Danio rerio: one gene and its partners. The protein of the gene in region 2 interacts with the protein of the main gene of each other region in a pairwise test. Links are inferred from orthologs where the notes say so. Each region holds a gene or a part of one and is shown on either strand. Other genes may lie near its edges.

Region 1 (4,308 bases), on a different chromosome or scaffold from region 2:
ACTGATTAATAAAGTCATCTGGAATGAAGAAGAAAGCATTCAGCAGGATCCCAGAGTTCATCAAGATTCATCTTCAATGCCTCCATCATACCCCAGACATGCTCAATAATGTTGATGTCTGGTGACTGGGCTGGCCAATCCTGGAGCAGCTTGACCTTCTCTGCTTTCAGGATCTTTGATGTGGAGGCTGAAGTATGAGCAGGAGCGCTATCCTGCTGGAGAATTGTCCCTCTCCTGTGGTTTGTAATGTAATGGGCAGCACAGATGTCTTGATACCTCAGGCTGTTGATGTTGATCATCCACTCTGCAGATCTCTCGCACACCCCCATACTGAATGAACCCTAAACCATATTTATAGATTTAATAGAACAATGACTATTAAAGTACAACACTGTTTGCAGTCAAATAGTGCTAATGTTGTTTTGAAGTCACTCTTGATTGATTCCAAGCCGAATATTTAAAGTACCAGGGTAAACAATATAGAGAGCCCGTCACAAGCTGTCACCGAATGAATGTGCGAATATAAAACCAACCGTACCTCAATGGAAGTCAATAGGTAATTAGCGGTTTTCAACATTTTTCTAAATATCTATTTTAGAGTTTAACAGAAGAACAACTTGATAATGGTTTGAAACAAGTAAATGATGGCAGAATTTCCATTTGTGGGTGAATTTACGTTATCACTTCATGAATGAACAAAACTGAACCGTGTTTATAAAAGAACAACGAGCGAACGGATGAGGAATGAATATAAAGGCGAAAAAACTCACTGCGCTTCTCTGTGCTGCTCCTTAATTAGTTTAATTCCGGCGGATAAGAGTAATAATCTCCTTTTATTTGAACGATTTCTCCGCTTGCTTCCATTCAGTTTCAAACGGAGCGTCAGCCATCACTCGTGTTATCATTTCCGGTTTCATGGATCACATAAAGGTACCTCTACTAATTTATTGTTTCATGTTTTTTTGGTAATATTATTTAACATTTTTATTGAACATATTGTATATTACAACAGCTTTTAAAAAGTACAATAAAAACAGGTGCAAAAAAGAAACAAATTACATACATAATAACATTACATAAAAATAATGAATATTTCAAAACATGAGTTTCTACTAAAAGTGTTCACGTTCCATGTTATTTATAACTTTGCTTATATAGAAAAACGATAGTCGGAATAATAAAGCAGTAGTAAATAAATCATTGTTTTAAAGGTATACATCATTTCACGTTAATAATTGGTATTCATGTATATATTTCCCCTAGACTACAATTTTCGGTAATCAACAATTCTCAGCTCCACATGGTTGATGACCATACAATACAAAAAAAAACTTTGACATTATGCCAGAGACTGTAAAAAAATATGCTTTCGATTACCCAAAGACCTTTATTTTGAAATCGTGTCCTCTCATTTTGTTTCGCGAGATGTTTCATCCGCGTATCTTCAGCGTGTGTGTTCGAGAATCCTGCCTGCTTCAGGTTTGTTGACTACTGTAATAAAATGGTGTATATTTATTACTTTTTTAAATTTTATCTACACTTTTTTTAGATGATTTATGCCATGTATATGTGTGTTAAAATATGACTTAGCTTGTTGTTACTTAGTCAGTTAATTTAACTTACTCTGTCTTAATAATACAGTAATGAAATATAAAATAACAGTAAACGATCTGTAAATTAACCATATATAAACTTTTAATCTTGATAACGTTTTAAAAACGTCTTTCTGATTTTGTTTGTGATGTAATAGTGTGCGCTTTGGGGTGATTAGTTAAGTTATTGTGAAACGAGCTGTACAGATAAGCTTGAACGTTTCCTCGGTATTAAAGGGTCAGTTCACCTAAAACTGAAAATTCTGTCATCATTTACTCACCCTTTACAAACCTTTATGAGTTGTTTTCTTCTGTTAGAAGATATTTGGAAGAAATGTGGAAACTGGTAACCATTAACCTCAATAGTATTTGTTTTCCTACTACAGTCAATGGTTACAGGCTTTCAGCATTCTTCAAAATATCTTCTTTAGTGTTCAACAGAAGAAAACAGCTCATAATGGTTTATAACCACTTGAGGTTGAGTAAAAAGGGAGTAAACTTACATTTTTTGGCTGAACTATCCTTATAAAGCAGCTGTATAAGTGTTTATAGAGGTAAAGTTGGTTATCGTTTTTGAACACTGACAATTAGTGTTATCGTGCCTATATTGTTCACCACACTACTTTGAATATTCAGATTGAAATTGCTTGTAAACATGACTTCAAAACATCATTAGCACTATTTAATTGACTGTGAACAACATTGTACTTTGATAGTCGTTTGCATAAGTACTTTTCTGATTTTATATTATTGAGGAGAACGTCTGAATGTGTGAATATAAAAACTTTACCTCAATTAAGTGTTTTAGCCATCAGTTCTTCTCATGCACATGTATTTAGTCCAGCAGTTAATAACAGTGTATCTGATGTGTTTCAAAAAAATCTAAATTTTACAGATTTTTAAAAAAATGTAAAATTATGCATATGAATAGTAAATATATTATGCATTTTTAAAAATTAATTGTAGTATTTTCTTTAAATAATATCCAAATGTTTATATGATTTATTTATAATAAAGTTTGTAAAGTCCTATTTTTTATAATTTTGCAGATATATATTATATGAGAGACTAAATAAAACAATGTAAGAGGAAAAAATAAATAAATAAATAAATAATATATATAATAAATAAATAAAAATAAACTAAATTTAATATATATATATATATATATATATATATATATATATATATATATATATATATATATATATATGTATATATATATATATATATATATATATATATGTATATGTATATATATATGTATATGTATATGTATATATATATGTATATATATATATATATATATATATATATATGTATATGTATATATATATGTATATGTATATATATATGTATATGTATATATATATATATATATGTATGTATATATATATATATATATATATATATATATATATATATATATATATATATATATATATATATATATATGTGTGTGTGTGTGTGTGTGTGTGTGTGTAAATATATATATATATATATATATATATATATATATATATATATTAAATTTAGTTTATTTTTATTTGTTTATTTTATTTTGCATGATTTTTTGTGCATTATTTTTCTATTTCTAAAGATGTTCGTTGACTAAAATAATATTTAAGTAAATAAATCTGTGTAATATGTCCTCATGCACATATATTTGATCCAACAGTTTATGTGATGTGTGTTTATATGTGCATATATTAGGTTCTGCAGTTAATAGCAGCATATCTGATGTGTGTTTTATATAGGATTGAATGTGAAGATGGCAGAGATAGGCTGTCCTGGCTCCAGCACTGAAGGGCCCGGCTCTGGCTCTGCTGACAGCCCGGGGGCCCTGAGCCCGTCTCAGAGAGAGCTGCTGGAGCGATGCCTTCATGCCCTCAATCATGCCAAGAACGACAGCCACACACTGGCAGCGCTGCTCCTGGTACAAACACACCTACACTCAGGGTGCCAATATATAGTTTTCAGTCATGTGACGTGTGTGTAGACCTGCCAGGTAAAAAAATAAATAAATAACACTGAGCCATAATGACGGCTACACTGAGCTCTTTATAGAAACGCAGCACTATCCACCCATATTTCCATATTTCAATCAAATATCAACAGAATAAAACAAAGAAATGATCACAAACTGTACATTGTGGGCACCTGCCATCCATATACTTCAGTGTTTTAGTCACTTAAAATCCTCAGAAATAACATGTCAAAAATAAGTGAGTTTTTTCTTAAAACAAACTAAATAATCAGGGTAATTGGCTAAATAATATACAGTTGAAGTCAGAATTATTAGCCCCCCTGAATTATTAGCGCCCCTGTTTATTTTTTCCCCATTTTCTGTTTAATGGAGGGAAGATTGTTTCAGCACATTTCTAATCATAATAGTTTTAATAACTCATTTCTAAAAACTTATTTATTTTATCTTTATCATGATTACAGTAAATAATATTTTACTAGATGTTTTTCAAGACACTTCTGTACAGCTTAAAGTGACATTTAAAGGCTTCACTAGGGTAATAAGGTGAACTAGTCAGGTTAGGGTAATTAGGCAAGTTATTGTATAACAATGGTTTGTTCTGTAGATTGTCGGAAAAAAAATTGGCTTAAAGGGGCTAATAATATTGTCCCAAAAATGGGTTTTAAAAAATTAATAACTGCTTTAATTCTAGCCGAAATAAAACAAATAAGACTTTCTCCAGAAGAAAAA
Region 2 (3,656 bases):
CCATCCTCTATGCCAAGCTTTTATCCAGACTGACAGGGCTGAAAGAACATCCAACTTCCCTAAAGCACTTTTCAGTTTCCTCCCTGCTTGTTTTTCAGTCTAAATTCATTATGAAGGAAGAATGATTTGTCCAGGTTTTTTTTTTTTCTATTGTAATGTTGCCTTGTCACACATTCTGTTGCCTTTCATTAAATGTCATCTGAAAAGGTTTACAGGAATCCCCCAATGAGAAAATAATTATCCCCAATAGCATATTTCTCTAGTCCATTAAGTTATAAAAAAATGCAGTCATTTTCTCCTGATTTCTCTAAACAGCATGCTCCTATTCCCAAACGTCAGCCTGGAGAAATTACAGACCGCACAGTCCTCAATGTATTTGGACCAGTCGGACAAGGAGGACGCTACATTTTGGACAGCCTCAAAGTAAGTTCTGATTAAAAAACAAACAAAAGTGCCCATAGTGAATGCCCTATAAACATAATTACTCAGTTTCCTTATAAATATGATTCAAATTAGTTTATTAGTCAATTGTTATGTAACTTTTTTCACTCACTGTTTACAGACTGGAGCATTGGAAGAAGAGTTCTATAAAGACTCTGATCTGACTATTGGAGCTGTCATTAATGTATGGGGTCGAAGGGTGTTAATATGTGACTGCGACTACTTCACTAAAGAGTATTATCGCTCTAAATATGGGATTGGTGAGTTACATCATGACTTCCGAAGGAATAGAATTTGTACTTTTATAGGTGATACTGGTGATGTTTCATAATTTGTGGTTAAATAGATTTGTCAAAACAATCACATTTTTATTCAAAGCAGTATATAAATAGGAATTTTTAAAAGTTTCTTTGTACAGTATTTTTATATATAGAAATATTTATTAATAACCACAATAAAGGAGCATATAAATAGATATTTTTCTTATTATCTCTTTATATAATTTATTTTGATATTATAAGAATTTAAATCTTACTTTATCTAGTCTTAGCTATTATTAGAATCTAATAATAACAAGAATAATATATTCAACCAACATTTGTGGTTTATTAGCTTTATTTTTATGAAATCATTTTAAATTAGAGTGAAAGCAATATATAAATATTTTTATAATATTTTTATATTTGTCATTAAATGCATATGATGGTGATTTTAATCTTTATCATAAACATCAGTGGTTTTATCTAAACTATAATCTGTACTGTTTGTAACTTCAGAACTCAAAAGAGTAAAGTCTCAAATCATTTTTTTTTTGCATTTTGAAGGATTAATAAACATATGTAAATCACCATCATTTATAATTTATGTTGAGTGGGTGTTGGAACCCCAAACTTTTAATGATTAATCGTGCAGCTTACACTGAATGCATTGATGCAGGCTAAACAAGTAGTAACAGCAAACACCTTTAATGAAACCCACCACATGCCGAATAGCCTACCACAACTTTTTCCATGATCATTATATTTTACAAGAAAGCCTACATGCTTTTATATATGTGATTTGAATGACACAAGAGGTCTCTGCGATCATTACATATTTAGGATTAATCTACCAGTAAAAAAAGTATTAATCAGCAGACCATGTGTGTTCCAAACGGTGGATTGTGATCCGTATGAATCATGAATCAACCGTGATCTGTTACACCCCTAAACTTTTGATTTTGATAGTATAAGAATAATTCTTTATTATTAATAATTATAACTAAATAATTGTCCTATATCAGGTTGCAGTAATATTAATAATAGTAATAATAACAACCTTAATATTTTCATAACTCTATATAGAACAAATAGTTTGGAGAATGTATTTTTATTTTCATTATATATATTATGCATAATATACATGTGCTTTTCAGTGGCTCAGTGGTTAGCACTGTTGCCTCACAACAAGAAGGTTGCTGGTTCGAGTGCCAGCTGGCCCAGTTGGCATTTCTGTGTGGAGTTTGCATGTTCTCCCTAAGTTTGCGTGGGTGTCCTTTGCATTCTCCCCTTTTCCCCACAGTCCAATGATATGTGGTATAGGTGAATTGAATAAACTGTAATTGTGTGAATGTGAGAGTGTATGGTTGCTTTCCAGTGTTGGACTGTGGCTGGACAGGCATCCGCTACATAAAACATATGCTGGAAAAGTTAGCGGTTCATTCTGCTGTGGTGACCCCTGATAAATAAGGGACTAAGCTATGGAAAATGAATGATGATTTTCAAAGGGAGGAGTTTGGCAGCGCTGTTACTGACCACATGATGTCAGCATTGAGTTTCATCTGTGACTCTGGCTCTGAACTTGGCTCTTGAACTGGCATTTATTTTGTTAGCTCCAAACAAACTCTCCACAGCTTGTGCATCTTGTGCTCTACTGCTTAATCTAATGAAGTGCAAAGCAAATCTACATACCCCGACCCCTCATTCTCTACACGCATCTCATCTGTGTGGTCTTACAAGCTGTTCGTTATTTTCAAAGTCTTCCTGCCATAAATCTCACATCTCTATGAGAGACTACTGCTCCCCAGTGTGCTTTCATCCCGTTGAAAAACTGTCGGAATAACACGCACTGAATGAAAGGAGCAGAACTGATTGACACCTCAAGGTGACTCAGTTTTTGGACAGCAGATATGAGCAATGGCTAGCCAGGCCTCTTTATCTTCAAAAGCCCGGACATCAGAAGCACACAAGCTCCGTGTCAACGGTAACACAATACGGGTGCGCGTGCATCTGTCTGCCGTGGCGTTATGCCGACTCAAGAGATCATAGCATTAGTTACACATGAGCCTAATGGAGCCGGGTTGACACCGGCTCTGATGAAGCACTTGTTCACTTCTCAAGGGTCAAGAGGCAATAGACCAAATTCATATGGCTAAACGTAACTCTGTCTGGCTTCTCTTTCGGTTTTCAGTCTAATTAGGGCACTGTTTACATCTAGGGCCCTACCATATACCTGGTGCAGTGCAGTGCCAGATGTGAGAGAAGTGTTTTTTGCTTGTTTCAGCTTGGCACAGGTATGCATTTGCACCAATTTGTGTGCTGCTTTGAAAAGGAGCTGTGTTAGGGAGCATTGCTGCCCCCTTGCTGTTCTGAGGCAACTGAAACTGTGGCATTGACTAACTAAAAGCTAGTCTAATGTCAATGATACAGTTTTTTGTTGTTGTTGTTGTCATATAAAGTGCATGTTGGTGATAGGTGGGGCCAAATTGTAAGTCCACTTTGCTTATTATCCACACAGGTATGCACAGCAGCACACAAATATCTTTAATATGCAAGATTAAAGGATTAAAATATAAAACATTATTATTTTCTACATAAATATAAAATTAGCTACCTCTTTCCAAACCTTCACCTCAGAGGGCTTAGGTGGAATTCAGCTCATTACATAGATGGCCGCCCAGTTTAACATTGTGCAGGAGAAGATACATTTCCTCACTAGTGAAGCATTCCGTTTTCACCATTGCACCTAGTTAATAGCAAATGTGCCAAAAAATTTCCAAATTTGTCAAATGACTATAAAATAAATTTAAAACCCTGTACTCTAATCTACCCTAAATGTTGTTGTGGGACAATGTGAGAGACAATGGTAGCATGTCCTTAACTATATCTCCAGATATTTTTTGTTTAATTCTTTCTGAGTGTTTGAAGTGGAGAAAAATTAAGTTTTATTTGGCGTTG
Region 3 (4,438 bases), on a different chromosome or scaffold from region 2:
GAATGGACCCTCCACCTATTGCCTCATTTATGAAGCTTTAACGCTTCCATGATCAAATATTCAGATCAGTGGGTTCACCTGACTCAATATCAACCTCAGAGAGTGCTATCACAAATTAATTTACTCAGATAATCCCATGACTTGGCGAGGCAGTGGCGCAGTAGGTAGTGCTGTCGCCTCACAGCAAGAAGGTCGCTGGTTTGAACCTCGGCTCAGTTGGAGTTTCTGTGTGGAGTTTGCATGTTCTCCCTGCCTTCGCGTGGGTTTGCTCCGGTTTCCCCCAACAGTCCAAAGACATGTGGTACAGGTGAATTGGGTAGGCTAAATTGTCTGTAGTGTATGAGTGTGTGTGAGGATGTTTCCCAGAGATGGGTTGTGGCTGGAAGGGCATCCGCTGCGTAAAAACCTTCTGGATAAGTTAGTGGTTCATTCCCTGGATTAATAAAGGGACTAAGCCAACAAGAAAACGAATGAATGAATGAATGAATCCCATGACATCTTTGATGCAAATTGCACTGTGGTGCATGAAAGAAAGGCTGATTTACCATCTGATATTTGTGTGTGTGTGTGTGTGTGTATGTGTTTGTGTGTATATATATATATATGGTGCATGTTTTTCTTTTGAAATATTTCCCAAGAGATGCTTGACAGAGGAAGGTAGGCTAAATCCGTAGTGTATAAGTGTAAGAGGGTGACAAAAAAAGTCGTTATCATATGGACAAGTTTAAATGGAGGACTTGTTCTAAAGGGCCGACCGAATAATAAAACGAAATAAAACTTAGTAAGAAGACAATAATTTGTTTTGAGACATCAGATAGAATCTAATTTCCTTATTTTTATATCAAAATAATAATAATAAAAAAAAAGGTTTTGTGTTTTTGAGGCAGGTTGGTTTGATATCTTAAGATTAGTTTGCTGACATGATTTTAGTTGCATTGTGCTAATTGGTATTCATGGAGTGCACCAGGCAAGGTACAACAAAATGAACAACAGAAAGTATCCCCACACACTCACCCTATTAAGCTATCCTTCCTCTTTTACCAATGAACAGACCCCTAAGCTTGAATTATTTTTGTTATACAAAAAAAAAAAAAAAAAAAAAAAAAATATATATATATATATATATATATATATATATATATATATATATATATATATATATATATTTATATATATATATATATTTATATATATTGGGTAGGGCGTGTTTTCAGTGTCAAACAATTATTAGCGAATATGATGAAGAAATTTGTTTGGATTTACCGTCTATGGGATTTACATTTTAACAAACTATTTTGTTTAACAGAAAAACTATGACAGCGCGGAGGCCTTATATTTGTGAAGCCTGGCCTAGTTAAAAACGATGTTTATAGACAACAAGTCTCTCGTCTATTAGCCACAACCTCAATTTGACAGTGAGCTTCAATCCTTCCTGCAACTTTTCAATCTGCATCAAAAGTTACAACTCGACCTGACGAGTGCGCCATTACGTCATCCTACCCAGTGCGCGAGAGCGAGCGAGAGAAAGAGAGAGAGACGTCGAAAAAATACTGTCCCACCAACCTCCGCCCAACGGTCAGTCATGCCACACTCTGGATTTTACTGTCAAGCCTCCTAAAAGAGAGCTGAACTTGACCTGTCCGTCGTGTTGAACGTGGAAGCGATAAACGCCGACACTTCCGCGGTTCAGAGGCTCTGTTTGCTGGCGAGTGTGTGTATGTATGGGAGTGAACTGGAGAACGCGAGGAGAAGAAGAGAAGGTAAGCACGCAGCGAGCTAGCGAAAATGTATACACCTCAAACAGTCGTGTGTTTCTTTTAGCCACTACAAAGACATGCTGTCGTGTTTTTACGGAGGAGCGAGCAGAGAGCGCGTGTTTGTGTGCTCGTGTTGTCGTGGAGTGCCAGTTTGCCGGGAGTTTGACACACATACACACACACACATACACATCTGCAGCAGTTCTGGCCTCAAGATGGATCAGGCCGACACAAGAGTCACTCACAGCCACGCAGAAGAGCTTACCATGAGTGTTTGGGATGTAAAGTCTATTAGTTTAATGCGATTTATTGTTTAACTGGTGTATGTTATGCAGGGACGTAGCTAGCTGCGACTTAGCTTTGCTGTGATGGAGCGACTGCAGCCTGGCAGCAGAATGACATGACTTAAAAACGTGGTAAATCTACTCTTGACATGCTGTGGATTTATATTTAGTGTTCGTGGATTGGCTTAATATATCAGTGTATATTCTGTAAGGGGGCAACTTGTATCTGAATGAGGTCAATGACACTGCTGTGATGCATGAACTGAAGGATGTGTTGACATTCTGCAGGTCAAGAGATGCACTGTAATTCAACTACGATTCATATCTTTAGGCCATTTAGTTGCTTATTCACCTAACATTGAAAGTTGAAGTACATCTAAAACAATCACCTGTAATAAGTTAGCTTTTCATTAAGAAAGATTTGTATGATTTCCTGTTATTTACATTTTCAGTCCAATATTACATTATTGGTTCATCATTGGATAAATTATTTGCCCTCCTGTTTATTTTTTCCGCATTTTTTGTTTAGCGGAGAATATTTTTTCAACACAATTCTAAACATAATAGTTTTAATTACTCATTTCTAATGACTGGTTTATTTTATCTTTGCCATGATGACAGTAAATAATATTTGACTAGATTTTTTTTCAAGTCACTTCTATACAGCTTAAAGTAAAACAAATAAGACTTTTTCCAGAAGAAAAAAAAAATCAGACATACTGTGATCATTTCCTTGCTCTGTTAAACATCATTTGGGAAATATTTACCAAAGAAAAAAAAATTAAAGTGGGCTAATAATACTGACTTGAACTGTATGTGTGTCAGCAGCACTCAGCAGGTATTTTTGTATGTGTTTGTTTTGTGAGAAAGTTAATAGCAGGATGCCCTTAAGCAGCTATTTCTTGTACATTTATATTCATTTTTCAGGATGATACTAGAAAGTTCTGAGGAAATCGCATTGCACTTTGGGCACTCAAAGTTTCATTGGATTCTGCAGCGATTATCATATGACATTATGCTCTACTTCATCTTTAAACAAAAAAAAAAATAAAAGTCATAAAAAAATAGCTCAGGGAAAAATAATTAATCTAATTAAAAATTAGTTTTGCCACCATTTAAAGGGCACCTATGATGAAAATCAGCTTCTGTAAGCTGTTTGGACAGAACTATCTGTTTGTGTGTCCACTGTCATGTTGGAGTAATAGAAACCCAACAAGTCTCATTTTTAAAATTTCCTGATGTTAAAATAGGACCCAGATCCCAGTGATTTTGAGGCTCAACGTGACATAGGAGTGCGGTTTCCATGTGCACCGAATTAATTGACAGCATACGTTTCTATAATACATGTATAGACATGTCCACAGAACATTTGTTTGCAAATAAACTGGGATAAAATATTTGTTCCAACTCTTTAATTTTTGTATTAAGTTTAAAAGTTTTTAATACAGAGCATGTTTGTAATAAAGACAGTAAAATTGATATGTAGTTCTTAACCGCTATAATCACTGCGGCCACGTGGTGTTAGTAAACACACACATATATATGTATGTGTGTGTACTGCTTCTATGAGTGACTTGCAGCGACAAGTGACAACAGACATCCTAAGTTTCCAGGAAATTTCGGGAGTCACCCCCAAATGCATAAAGACTCCTGGATGCCTGCAAACGAATGATAATCTCCCGGAAATCGTTTTTCTTTTGCCCGGTCCTCAAGTTCTTTGCACAGTTCAGATTTGCACAGTTGCACAGTTCACACTCTTCAGATACGTTGCGCACCCCTGCCCCGCTCTTCAGATATGTCGCCCTCCACCCCTCAATCTCCCTTAAATCATCCCTGTCTTCACTGGAAATCACTTTTCCTTACTTGGGATGTCTGCGACAAGCGACCATTCATTTCAATAAAGAGCAAGCGACCTCCATCTACATGAGCAACAGCGACCGTTGGTGACAAAGTGGGTGTGTCAAGCTCAACTTTATGCAAATGAAGAGTGACTTGCTTGAGTGACAGCCAATAGGAGCACCAGAGAAGCTCACGTGATCCTCTCTCAGCTTCGGCAGAAGCATGTTGTATTCTCCATGCTGTAGACCTACACAGACCTGCGTTTGCCTGAAGATAAATAGCCGCAATGACAGAGAACACATTTTTTCTTGATCATCTTTGTAGTTAAGCGTTTTATGTACTGATTCCGTTTATATTTTGTGTATTTTCTGAACAACGTTTACTTTCAGTGGCACGCAAACTCATTTGCTCTCTGTGAATATTACCACAAACGTTATAAGCAATCTCAAGGTGGGAACACCCACAATTGTTTTAATCGCCACCCAGAGCAACATGCAGCTACAGAGTCGCTGCTAGTGTGAATAAGGCATGAGACTCATCATTTCAGAAAGGCTTGAA

Evidence for each region.
Region 1: the proteins of efhc2 (region 2) and ncdn interact in binary tests that used the Homo sapiens proteins (3 or more experiments, as listed by UniProt). The two-hybrid records come from large-scale screens. The link is inferred for Danio rerio from reciprocal best matches to the Homo sapiens genes EFHC2 and NCDN.
Region 3: the proteins of efhc2 (region 2) and mapk9 interact in binary tests that used the Homo sapiens proteins (3 or more experiments, as listed by UniProt). The two-hybrid records come from large-scale screens. The link is inferred for Danio rerio from reciprocal best matches to the Homo sapiens genes EFHC2 and MAPK9.

What each region holds. Positions count from the first base shown.
Region 1 is NC_133194.1:50,429,315-50,433,622, forward strand, and holds the start of ncdn (neurochondrin), read left to right. Parts: upstream 1-1,422; 5' UTR 1,423-1,479; intron 1,480-3,349; 5' UTR 3,350-3,363; coding exon 3,364-3,528; intron 3,529-4,308. UniProt on the Homo sapiens protein: Probably involved in signal transduction in the nervous system, via increasing cell surface localization of GRM5/mGluR5 and positively regulating its signaling. Required for the spatial learning process.
Region 2 is NC_133184.1:35,465,841-35,469,496, reverse strand, and holds part of efhc2 (EF-hand domain-containing family member C2), read left to right. Parts: intron 1-315; coding exon 316-423; intron 424-516; exon of another isoform or gene 517-562; coding exon 563-701; intron 702-3,656. UniProt on the Homo sapiens protein: Microtubule inner protein (MIP) part of the dynein-decorated doublet microtubules (DMTs) in cilia axoneme, which is required for motile cilia beating.
Region 3 is NC_133196.1:35,054,936-35,059,373, reverse strand, and holds the start of mapk9 (mitogen-activated protein kinase 9), read left to right. Parts: upstream 1-1,552; 5' UTR 1,553-1,760; intron 1,761-4,438. UniProt on the Homo sapiens protein: Serine/threonine-protein kinase involved in various processes such as cell proliferation, differentiation, migration, transformation and programmed cell death.